3 linked regions of the Macaca mulatta genome follow. The protein of the gene in region 2 purifies or fractionates together with the protein of the main gene of each other region. This does not show direct contact. Links are inferred from orthologs where the notes say so. Each region holds a gene or a part of one and is shown on either strand. Other genes may lie near its edges.

Region 1 (3,689 bases), on a different chromosome or scaffold from region 2:
CTTAAGTGAGCTGTGTATTGTTTTTTCAAGCAATTACAGAATACCTTAAGATTTCCAAGTTACTCACAAAATAGACAATCTAGAGATAATTACCCCAGTCTAAAAGGGCAAGATGAGAACAAGGGCCCAAGGTTGGAATCCACCTTGGGTCAGGATCTCAGCGTTAGTACTTAGGGAGGTGCAAAGTTGGAAGTAGCAAGTGAAAGCCAGGAAAAATGATCTATGCTTTCTGTGTGGTTCCTACAGCCATAGGCAATAGGCTGACAGTACTCCAGAGAGGGACGAGAGAAGAGAAACAGGATAGTGCAATGCCAGAGGAACATCCAGAAAAATTCAAACAGAGAAAAGGCCTTCGGGTCTGGTGGTTAGAAGTTGTTACTGGTCTTTGCCAAGGTGTTTTCCATAGACCACTGCGTTAGGAAAACGAATTGCCAAAGAAAAGGAGTCAGTTCATGGTAGAGGTAAAGTTCCCAGTGTAACCTTCCCTTTCTAAGGAGTCTGGCAGTGGAGAGGTCGGAAAGTAGCTAACAGGGTCTCTGACCTCAGGTGGCTGCTGGGAATGCTTATGAAAAACAGTCAGGGAGAGGTGCTGTAGAAAATGCAGGAAATTACTGTTATTCTTCAAAAAAATTGGAGGCTTATATATATTTTTTTGTTTTTATGCAGAATTGTCAAAGTCAGTACCTCCGATAATCATTTATCACCTCTCTGCTTACCCATCCTCCCAACTATGAAATGTCCCTGGCTGTTACCATCTATGATGGGGACAGCAGAAAGGCTGCCTGTTCATTAGAGAAGGACTGTGCCTGGTGTCGTTAATCCACTTAGCCAATCACTGATATCCTAATGTTTCTTTTCATGAGAACTTACTGGACTTTTTTGTTTCCTCTATTCAAGTTGAGTGAGATACTCAAATTTGGTTTGGATAAACTGCTTGCCTCTGAGGGGAATACCATGGATGAAATAGACCTGGAGTCCATCCTGGGAGAAACAAAAGATGGCCAGTGGGTCTCTGATGCCTTGCCTGCAGCAGAAGGAGGGATAAGAGAGCAAGAGGAAGGAAGTAAGTCGGAGATTAGAGCAGAGCAAATGGCACAACCACCCCAAGCTAGAGCTCATGTCCCCATGGAAAGTTTTGGATGCTGCTCTCTGAGACATCTTTTTTCTACCCTACCCTATTGTCATCTTGGGCACACTGTTTAAGACTTGCTTGATACAAGAACTGTATCCAGACTAACTGTAAATATGTGTGGCTCTGCCCTTGTAGCTGAACTGTGAACCAAAATCATAGTATTAATGTTTGTGATAGTATCAATCTTAAGGCTTTGAATTTGTCACTTTCCTCCCTTGGTTGCAAGCATCTTCTTTGTTTATTAGTGAAGCCTCTACCATCCTTGGTATGATGCTTTGCACATAGTCATTCCTCTTCTAAACAAGAGAATTACTTGTTTGTTACATTGCAGCTAACATTGAGCATTTACTTTGTGTTCATCAACAGTGTGGACTTTGTCACGTGCTTTCTCCATTTAATTTCCACAATACGCCATGAGATGTAGGAGATGGTTGCCTTTCTCTTAAATTTTCTTTTCTCGATTTCTCAGCATTTGTCATTTTCTTCTTTTCTATTCTGAGTATTTAAATTTCTGACTTGAAGTAATTTTTCACATGGTAACTTTGTAAAGGCATTCCCTGGCATCTTGTAGTTATTTTGAAATGACTTATTTTTCTGGACCAGCTGCAGCAGAGATTCAATATGGACTGGGGTGAGAGGTTTGGGAGTCTTACTAGGCTTCTTAATTCACCGGTGCTTTCTTTCAATAATAGAGAGTAGTGCTGTTTCTTTACTAGATGGTAGCTCCTTTTCATGTTGGGTAGCAGTAGTGGCATGATTTCTGGTTTTGCAGTTCTCTTTTGTTTCTATAGGACTGTGAATTTCCATCACTTGCTTTCTCTTTCTTTTTGCCACAAACTTGTCAAAGGATGTCTCCCCACTTCTAAGTTGTCTCTCTCTTCCTGCCAGAAGCAATGCCTCCCCAAATTCCTGGCTGCATGTGTTTTTATACCTTCCCTTCCCTTCAGTTCCTTAGTAGCCACTTCTCTGATCCACCAGGTCTCAGACCTATCCTCATTATCTTGCCACTTGGATTGTGACCCTCTTTTGCGGGTAAATTTTATCTCTGACCTTTCCGGAACCCCCCTGCCCTCTCCTCTGCATAGTCTCTGCCTGACTGTCTACTTTAGTGTGGGCTTTGGAGCTGGCTCAGCTGGTTTTGGGGGTTCATTTCTCTTACTTCCATAAGTTGAAGTGTGTAGTATTTTCTGACTCCTAGTGTAGTAGGCATGGATTGGGGCGGCTTTGTTCTCCTTGTTGATCTGTATAGTTTTTGTAGGATAGGTGGAAAAGTTGGAATTTGGGCAGCTGGCATTGTTTTACAGGAAACTGCTTTTTGACTTTTTTTATGTTTTACTTTAAAATTCTTTATAAAAATATCTTGTTCGTATTCTTCAAGAACTCTTTCTTGTTCTCTGCTTATTGTTTTAATTGTACTCTGTTCTCATTTCAAAGACATACTGTCTTCTCTGGGGACATTTATTATGGCTTTTTAATATGTATTCCAGGGAGGATATTTATTATATCTTTTTAAAAAGTATTTCTCTTCCCACTGCATTGACTTTTACTTCTCCTTCTTTTTTTTTAAAAAAAACCACATATATATATATTTGCTTATTTATCTATTCATTGAAATTTGCAGATAAAATTGTGTTTATCATGTACAACATGATTTCTTGAAGCACACGTACATTGTGGAATAGTTAAATCTAGTTAATGAACATACATCACTTCATATGGTTATATATTTGTGGTGAGAACACTTAACATCCACCCTCCTAGTATTTCTCAGGAATACAGTATGTCATCATTAGCTATAGTCACCATGGTACCTCTTTTTCTAAAAAAGAAAACTTGTTTGGGGGTCTCTTGTTCTCATTGATAGTTTCCCCAACTGTCTGGTATTCCCTGGCTGTCTGATCACATGTGCTGATGAAGTGCCACAAAGCTGATGGCAGCTCTGGCATGGGCAGGGGCATGGGCCTTGGGGCTTATTCCTGGTTGGCGAGTCAGCTTTTACGTGGAGGGCACCTTCCCTGATCCATATTTGACATCTTTTCACTGGGCAGCCCATTTTCTCCTGAGACTAATCCTCTAGTATTTTCCCTGGGAGAGGTGAGAATGGAGTTCATCTGGTTGCTCAAACTGAAAAGGCAGGGTGAGTCAAGGGCTCATAGCACTCCTGCTCCTTGGGGTGTACATCTTCTCTCAGCTCCCCCCTTTGCAGTACTCTGTACTTATAAGTCCTAAGCTCTTCGGAGATTGAGAGGGTCTCTAGACTCCTAATGAGCCCTTGGCTAGGCACCTGTGTTTTGTTTCCATGGCTCTTCTTAATCTGTCATTATCCCTCCAGCTACTTTGCATTTTCCAAAAGGTTATTGAACTTTTTCATCCACCATTGCCTCATATATCTTTTTTAAAATTCCTTTAACTGTCACTTGGTGGTTTCAAGTGAGAGAAGAAATAGATGCATGTGATCATATTTTTAAGTTATAATTGATTATATTAAATAGCAACACTTACACTCAGTTCTGTACTGATCCAGATAATTTCAGCTTATTTTCCTAACGTTTACTAG
Region 2 (4,137 bases):
GTTTCTGGACTTCACAAGACCACGGTGGTTCCTATTCATGATCCAGATTAGCTGTGGTGGCTGGAACTGTAGTCTGTGTTCAACAGAGGTCTTCCTCTTGAGGGTTGGGGGAAGTAAGAAAGCAAACTGGTAAAAACGAGTGAGTCAAGAGCAAGTTTTTGCCATGCACCTTGGCCCCTCCCACCACCAATACAAACCAAAGCCAAACCACAAGGTTCTTGAAAAGAATCTCACATTAGGAAAACGTTACAGTGTATTTAAACGTTACGGTGTGTTTATCCACTTCTCCCAGGATCTTACTGGGAGAATAAAATGCCTCCCCTTGTGGAATTCCTGCAACGGGAATGAAGGTTTTTGAATTTCACAGCAGGGGATGCCTTGGCGAGGTTCTAAAATCCCACTAGGAATCTTTCTTCTACGTCCAGGTTCGCCTGGATGCCTGGAAACGACCCCTCTTCTGCCCTTTCTCCTTTATGAATCGAGCTTTGCTGAATTCTCTCTCAAGTGAGGTAAAAGCTCGTCTCCCTTTCAACTATCACTCGGAGGGATAGATTGGCGGCAGCGCATAAGGTGGGGCCGGGAGCCCCACTCAGCCCACATCCCGCGGGTCAGGGCTAATCACCCCACGTCCCATCTGAGCCACCTTCCTTGTGTCCTGCGCGGGTTGCAGCTGCTGGAAGCCAAGAACACGGAGCACTGACAAGTGACAACAACCGTCAGCGCTGTCACTGCGGCTCCAGGCCGCGGAGGGAAGGCTGAGCTTGCGTCAGGGCCGCGTCCCCGGGAGCGTAGACATCTAAGCCAACGGGAATGGAAGATCCTCCTACCTACTGGGCCGCGATGGCTTCTCCTCCCGCGATTTAAATCCTCCGGAATTCGAATCTTTCCCCATAGCTCTTCTCTTCCCGCCCACCTAAGCCCCACCCTGCTGACTCGGAACTCGCGCAGGCGCCGAGAGGGGGCGCGTAGTGCCTTTGGGGATTGGTAGTTTTTTCCAGGGCGTCTTAGCTCGGGAAAGGAAGTGAAGAAAGGCGCCAGGACTACAAGGCCCGGCGTCCTCCAAGAAGGGAGGGAGGTGAAAAGGGTGGTGGGGAATAAGCCGGGGTTTTTAAACAATAATTTTGAGGCGGCGTGACTGGGGAATCCCCGATTGCGTCATCAGTAGGCGTGGAGGGACGGGACTCGGGAAACTGCGCTGGGGCTGGGCTCTGACAGGACCGGCGCAGGCGCGGGTAGCCTTTGCGGCCCTCCCCCGCTGTTTTTCCCAAGTCCTGGGCTTTCCCCGCGGAAACAGCGGAGGGGCCAGTCTCCTGGCGAAGGGGCCTAATCCTTGCCCGCCATGCCCGGGGGCTTCGAGCTGCAGCCGCGGGACGGCGGTCCCCGGGTGGCCCTGGCGCCCGGGGAGACTGTGATCGGCCGCGGGCCGCTGCTGGGAGTAAGTGTGGGCGGGGGCTCGGCGGACCCCGAAAGCCGTGGAGGTCCGCTCCGGCGCCTGAAGACCGGCCCTAGTCCTAGCCCTATTCCCCACCGCGCTGGTCCGCCGGTCTGGATTTTATAAGTTTGGGGCCGCAAGTTTTTCAGTTACCTTTAAGCAATTCACAAACATTTCTTTATGTTGCTTTAAAAACACTGACTGTATTACCATTATTATCTTTTCCGGGGTTTGGCAAACTAGAGTCTGGGGGCCAAATCCAGCCTATGTTTGTATGGCCCCGTGAACTAAGAATGATTCTTAAATTCTAAAATGTAAAATATAAACAAAAAACCTACCAATTTTTCCGGGAGAATATTGCTGCAAGGGTTCAGGGTATTGTGGCTTGTCCTGTAAAGCCTAAAATATTTACGGTAGTCTCTGGCCCTTTACAGAAAAGTTTGCCAAACCGTGATATTATGTCTTCTAGGCTAATTTAAGCTTTGGTCTCCTTTGCAGAGCTGTGTGGACCTTATTTATTTATTTGTATTATTTATTATTTCCAGTAAAATGAGTAGCTAATCCTTAATAAGGAATGTGTATAGCGTTCGAGTCATTGGTCTAAGGAGACATTATCTATACCAACATCTTTAACTGTCAGGTATTTTTATTATCCTCATTGTTCAGATGAGAAAATTGAGCCATACATACGTTATTTAAGGTCCATGCATAAGCTTTTGGACACAATGCCACAAAACTAAATATTCTCTACCTTCTTTGGGAGGTTTAGGAATGAGAACATTTGCATATTGCATTCCAGAATTCTATAGAGCTCTTCTTAAGTACATCTAGTTTTTAATTTTTTTCTTTAACATTCAGCATTTCTTTTTAGTGCTCACTGTGTAGAACATTTTGCAGATTCTAGCACTGTGGGGCATACAAAGATGAATGGAACATGGGTCCCTGCCCGCTAGGAGTTTTCTCTTGGGACTGGGAGACACCTGTGTCAGTGAGCTAACACCAAAGAGTGAGGAGTGTTTACTGTTATCCTGATTGACTTCTAGAGTCTAAATGGAACCATTGGTACTTGCCTTAGGTCCCTTCTGGGAGCAGGGAAAGGAGTGGTAGTTTAAGATTGTGTTATGGAAATTGGTCCTAAAGGCGTGTGTGTGTTGTGTGTTGTGTACATACACATGTGCATGTAGTACGGTTATTGAGACAGTACTCAATTGCTGTTCTTTTTTTTAACTGACAAGTGATTATTTAAATGTTTAACATCATTTCAATTTTTTTTTTCGTCGTTTATTAGCCTTACAAACACTGGAAGGAACTGGAGGCTTTATTTTTCTGTTTTTCTTTTAAATTCGTAGGTTAGAAACTTAGAGTATGTGTTTCATCTAGTAATCATGTGTCTGGTGACTAATGAGTTTTGACTTGCTTAAGACATTGTCACCAGTAGAGTACCTGGGTCTGGTTAAAAGATGGATGAATTTTAGGGCCGTGTTGTAGAAACTTGGCAACAGATTGCATACCCTTTCATTATTTGTAGCTTGTTCTTTGTGTTGTCGACTTGCTAATGTGAGATGAGCCTATTTGGTATCTGTTTTTTAAAATGATAGGGAGTGAAAGCTGGGCAATTATCTGGTCAAGATCTTGCTTTTCCTTTTAAAATAACATTCAGGGATGAGATTCTGTTGCCAAGGTTGGCAGGTATCAGAAGTGCTTATGAATGACATCCTAAGTGTGTTAAAGGAAAAATTTGGAGAACAAACAAATCACCTTGTAGTTTTTTCGATTTTGGAGCTGACAGATGCACTCGATTCTTCTCCGCAGTGGTTAAAACACAACATAAGGGCCCCTGTTTCCAACAACAGGAATTCCAGTGAGACTTATTTTTGTTTTGTGAGAGAGCGAAGACTGAGTTCTAAGTGGAAAACTCAGTAAGTTCATTGTAAATTGGTATACATTGGAAATGATTAATATAAATAAGGATGATTTTGAACTTTCTTAATTGGGCACGTTTTTCTGAGACAAGCTTCACAAACCTTGATGGCCACACAAACATAAAAGTTTATAATCCCACTGTGTAAAATAGTCTTAGTAGTAAAACAGTTTGACAATGAGAATATTTTTATATTTTTACGGTGGTAGGAAAACACAGAGAAACCTGTCACAAACAAAGGACAATGAAATTTAATCTTTCTTGTGCCCTTTGCTTTCACGTGAGTCATCAGAGAACCCCAGCTCTTTGTTTACTAGATTTTGATTCTGCTTCATGATTGGCATCAGTTAGATGGTTTTACAGCAGGATTTATCTTCAGAGAACTTAAGTTAAAACAGCCAATCCAAAAGATTACATATTGTGTAATTCTATTTATATAACATTATTGAAATTGCAGATTGCAAAATTTCAAAAATGGAGAACAGATTAGTGGTTGCCAAAGGTTAAAAAATTAGGCAGGAGGGCAGATGGGAATGGATATGGCTATAAAATAGCAACGTGAGGGATATTTATGGTGACAGAAATGTGCTTTGTCTGGACTGTGTCAATATCAATATCTTAGGTTGATGTATTGTACTGTAGTTTTGTAAGATGTTACCATTGGGGGAAACTGGATAAATGGTACAAGAGATATTTCTATATTATATCTTTCAACTACATGTGAATCTACCATTATCTTAAGAAAATTTTATTTTAAAGGGTTTTATAGAACAACATGTCAAGC
Region 3 (3,689 bases), on a different chromosome or scaffold from region 2:
CATAGACAGGGATTCAGGAAGACTTTGCTGGGGCATGTGGTGTAGATGGGAGTTGAGAAGGTCAGGATCATTTATTGGCCTTACGTAAACAGCGTTGGACTAGGGGCTTTTACATGTGTAGTTTCATTTGTTCTTCAGTTAACCCTAGACAGTACTTTTATTTAGGAAGTACTTTTTATTAGGCCTTTTTTATGACTGAGAAAGTTGAAGTTCAGGGTTATCATGGAGTTAGTATTTGCACTGAAGTCTGACTCCAGTATCTGTGCTCTTTTATACTACACTGTGTTGCTACGTTTATTGTTTGGAGACATTCTTGTGATTGACTCAGTTGAAGAAAATAAATGAAGCCAAACCACCTGGCCTTATTTTAGAAGTCATTTGGAGATTGAAAGACATTTTATGTGATTGAAAGAAGCCTAGACCTGAGGTCAGAAGACTTGGGTTCTGATCCTTGACAGCTCAGATCCCTGAGCATGTCCTTACTTCTCTTCAGCCTCTGTCTGTGAAGCAGCAGTGGCCTCTCCTACCATAGTGTTATGTACAGGGTGCTATGGGAGCATAGGCAGCAATATATAAATTACTTTCCCCTCTGCTTCCTTGAGGTTGTGTATTTATTTGTTTAAGCTTCATCATATCTCCGTGCCTCATCTACCCCATAGTGTTCTCATGAGGACTATAAGAGATAACGTTGCAAAAACGGTGCCTGGCTCTATAGGATTTTTATTATTTTAAAATTCTGAGGTTGGTTTGTTTGTTGTTTGCTGGTAGGCCAAAGATAGAGAAGAGTCCAGGTGATGAGAAGGACGGCATGTTTCTGGAAGGGCTCCGGTGTTGGGGATGGAATTTGAGAGGAGTTGAGAGAAACAGTATTTTAGTTCTTGCAACCTGGTTGAACATTGACACTTTGGAGATTTTGTCCCTTAAAATCGTATTTAGATTCCGTATCAGAGATGAGGATGGATTTATAATTTACAAAGCCCAGACAAGAAGCAGCGTACAACAGCAGTTAGCTTAGTAATGGCTCTGCCACAAGCTTGGGAATAAAATTTGGTTTGTAAATGGTCACGAAGTGATCGATGAGTGGCGCATAGTTATTTTTAAGCGTCTGGAGGAAAGCCCTGCCCCTTGACCACCTTTTGTAAAAATGTATTTTTTTTTTATAACTGCTCCTTGGGGAGCAGGGTTTTATTTTGACAATAAGAAAAGAAAGGTTGAAGTGGCAAGGGGTGGGGATGTTGAGTGTACTAGTGGGATCTGACTTTCTTAGTAGTGTCTTTGTCCTGGCTCTTTCAACAAGGAAGTGGGCCAGGAAGTCATTTGCTCTTGTCAGACCTCAATCGCCTTATCAGTAAGAGACCATTGAACTAGATAATCTTTAAGGCTTCTTCCAGCTCTGACAACCTGTGATAGCAGTAATTTCACATTGACTAACATGTGCCTTGATTTCTTACTCCTTTTTCATGCCAACTTTTCTGGGGTCAGCTTTACAATTGCTCTGAGAATCTTCTGACCGCTTTATTTATTTATTTATTTATTTATTTATTTATTTATTTATTTTTTAGAGACAGAATCTTCCTATGTTGCCCAGGCTGGTCTCAAACTCCTGGGGTCAAGCGGTCCTCCCACGCTGGCCTCCCATAGTGTTAGGGTTACAGGTGTGAGCCACGGTGCCCAGCCAGTCCTGATCATTCTTGGCATGACTTCGGTCTTTATTCTTTTGTGAAGTGCTCACATAAAGAGATGCACATCAGTCTGATGTTTTGCTTGGTCTAAGGAGGCCATTGCTCCTTTACCATTAATTAATAGCTGTAAGATTTGAGAAAATTACTTGGCCTCCATTTCTTTATCTGTAAGATGGGTGTAATGACATCTACCCCAAAGGTCTATTCGGGGAGAGTAAATAAAGCTAAAGTACCAGCAGAATATCTGTTAACTTCCTTCCTTCCCTTTCTTTCTTCTCAGAAAGGCAGAATGAATTCATCTCTGTTGTTTCTCCAACAGCCAAGCCCAACAACTCTGGGGAAGCCCCCTCAAGCCCCACCCCTAAGAGAAGTCTGTCTTCAAGCAAATGTGACCCCAAGCATAAGGACTGTCTGCTACGGGAGTTTCGAAAGTTATGCGCCATGGTGGCCGATAATCCTAGCTACAACACGAAGACGCAGATCATCCAGGACTTCCTGCGGAAAGGCTCAGCAGGAGGTGTGGCATGAGCATCCTGAATAGGCCTTTCCTCCAGAGAGCTCAAGGCCATGACTGCCTTCCAGGGCATGTGAGCTGTGTAGTTGCCCAGGGTCCCATGTTTGGTTTAATGCTTTACTGTAGTCTGTCTTGAAATTCTTAATAATTTTGAACAAAGGGCCTCGCATTTGCATTTTGCACTGTACTCCTCAAATTATGTAACCAGTTTTTTTCAGAGCACTTTGGCATCTTTCTTCCTCTCCCATTATTCTGCTCCTAGGAGGCCAGAAGAACCCATCCTATTTGACTAGTTAGAAAATTTACTGTCCTACATATTTAATTAGGTTTTTGTGAACCATATACACAGCTTGGAATAGAATCTTCCAACTCTGTTTCTTTAATTTATCTAACAAATTGTCAATGAGCATCTGTAATGCCCTTGTCACTGGGCACCTGAAGTGAAAGTAACCACTCTGTCCAACGAGAGTTCATCTGTAGGCTAAAGGCAAGGCAGTCACACAGTCCACCAGCCTCTGAACTCCATGCTGCTCCTACTGTAGCAATATGCACAGGGCACTATAGGAGCGTGGGCAGTGATATATAGATATGTTTTGGGCTCTGCTTCTTTGAGTTGTTTGTTTATTTATTGAGACAAAAAAATGTGGCTGTGTTGCCCAGGCTGGAGTGCACTGGTGCAATCTCAGTTCACTGCAACCTCCACCTCTTGGGCTCAAACAGTCCTCCTGCCTCAGCCTCCCAAAGTGCTGAGATTACAGGTGTGAGCCACCTTGCCCAGTCTTCTTTGGGTTTATATATTTATGTGTTTAAGCTCTATTTCTCAAGAAGGGTTCCTTTCTTCTATCTCCAGATGGTTTCCACGGTGATGTGTACCTAACGGTGAAGCTGCTGCTGCCAGGAGTCGTTAAGACTGTTTACAACTTGAATGATAAGCAGATTGTGAAGCTTTTCAGTCGCATTTTTAACTGCAACCCAGATGATATGGCACGGGACCTAGAGCAGGTCAGAGGAAGGGGAGGGAGGGTAGGCTACATTCCAGGTAGGGTTTTGCCAAGCCAGGCACCTGCAGCCTCTTTTTTTTTTTTTCTGGTTGGGACACATACTGTTTTAGGAAACTGAAACCCATTTGAGCAAGCCTTTATTACTGGGGGAGCTGAATGTGAGGCTATAGCTGTTAATTTCGTAAGTTTCTGAGGGCGGAAACCATACCACTGCTGAACCACAGAGGCCTGGTTCTCAAAAGTCAGGATTTCAGACTTGCCCCCTCTGTCTCTCCTGGGGCTCTTATTCTGTACTCTTTTTTCTCGCTTGTTTTCTCCTGTAACTTGGGTTTACCAAGCTTTGGTTTGTTCGTGACTCTTATCCCCGGTACCATGGCAAGTTTCCATCCCCTTCTAGGAATTGTGGATGGGCTAGTGTCTCTAAGAAGTAGGCTAGATATGTTGAGTTGGGATAGGAGCTATGATTGAAATTTCTTGATTCATGTTCAGTCC

What was found. Proteins that work in one complex are often made in the same cells at the same time.
Region 1: the proteins of APLF (region 2) and CHD1L purify together in Homo sapiens (affinity purification with mass spectrometry; 4 studies listed by BioGRID and IntAct, counting the BioPlex papers as one, with this or other methods). This does not show direct contact. The link is inferred for Macaca mulatta from reciprocal best matches to the Homo sapiens genes APLF and CHD1L.
Region 3: the proteins of APLF (region 2) and LIG3 purify together in Homo sapiens (affinity purification with mass spectrometry; 3 studies listed by BioGRID and IntAct, counting the BioPlex papers as one, with this or other methods). This does not show direct contact. The link is inferred for Macaca mulatta from reciprocal best matches to the Homo sapiens genes APLF and LIG3.

Annotation. Positions count from the first base shown.
Region 1 is NC_133406.1:118,844,357-118,848,045, reverse strand, and holds part of CHD1L (chromodomain-helicase-DNA-binding protein 1-like), read left to right. Parts: intron 1-897; coding exon 898-1,063; intron 1,064-3,689. UniProt on the Homo sapiens protein: ATP-dependent chromatin remodeler that mediates chromatin-remodeling following DNA damage.
Region 2 is NC_133418.1:56,275,744-56,279,880, reverse strand, and holds the start of APLF (aprataxin and PNK-like factor), read left to right. Parts: upstream 1-1,159; 5' UTR 1,160-1,339; coding exon 1,340-1,435; intron 1,436-4,137. UniProt on the Homo sapiens protein: Histone chaperone involved in single-strand and double-strand DNA break repair.
Region 3 is NC_133421.1:44,508,548-44,512,236, forward strand, and holds part of LIG3 (DNA ligase 3), read left to right. Parts: intron 1-2,001; coding exon 2,002-2,199; intron 2,200-3,046; coding exon 3,047-3,198; intron 3,199-3,689. UniProt on the Homo sapiens protein: Isoform 3 functions as a heterodimer with DNA-repair protein XRCC1 in the nucleus and can correct defective DNA strand-break repair and sister chromatid exchange following treatment with ionizing radiation and alkylating agents.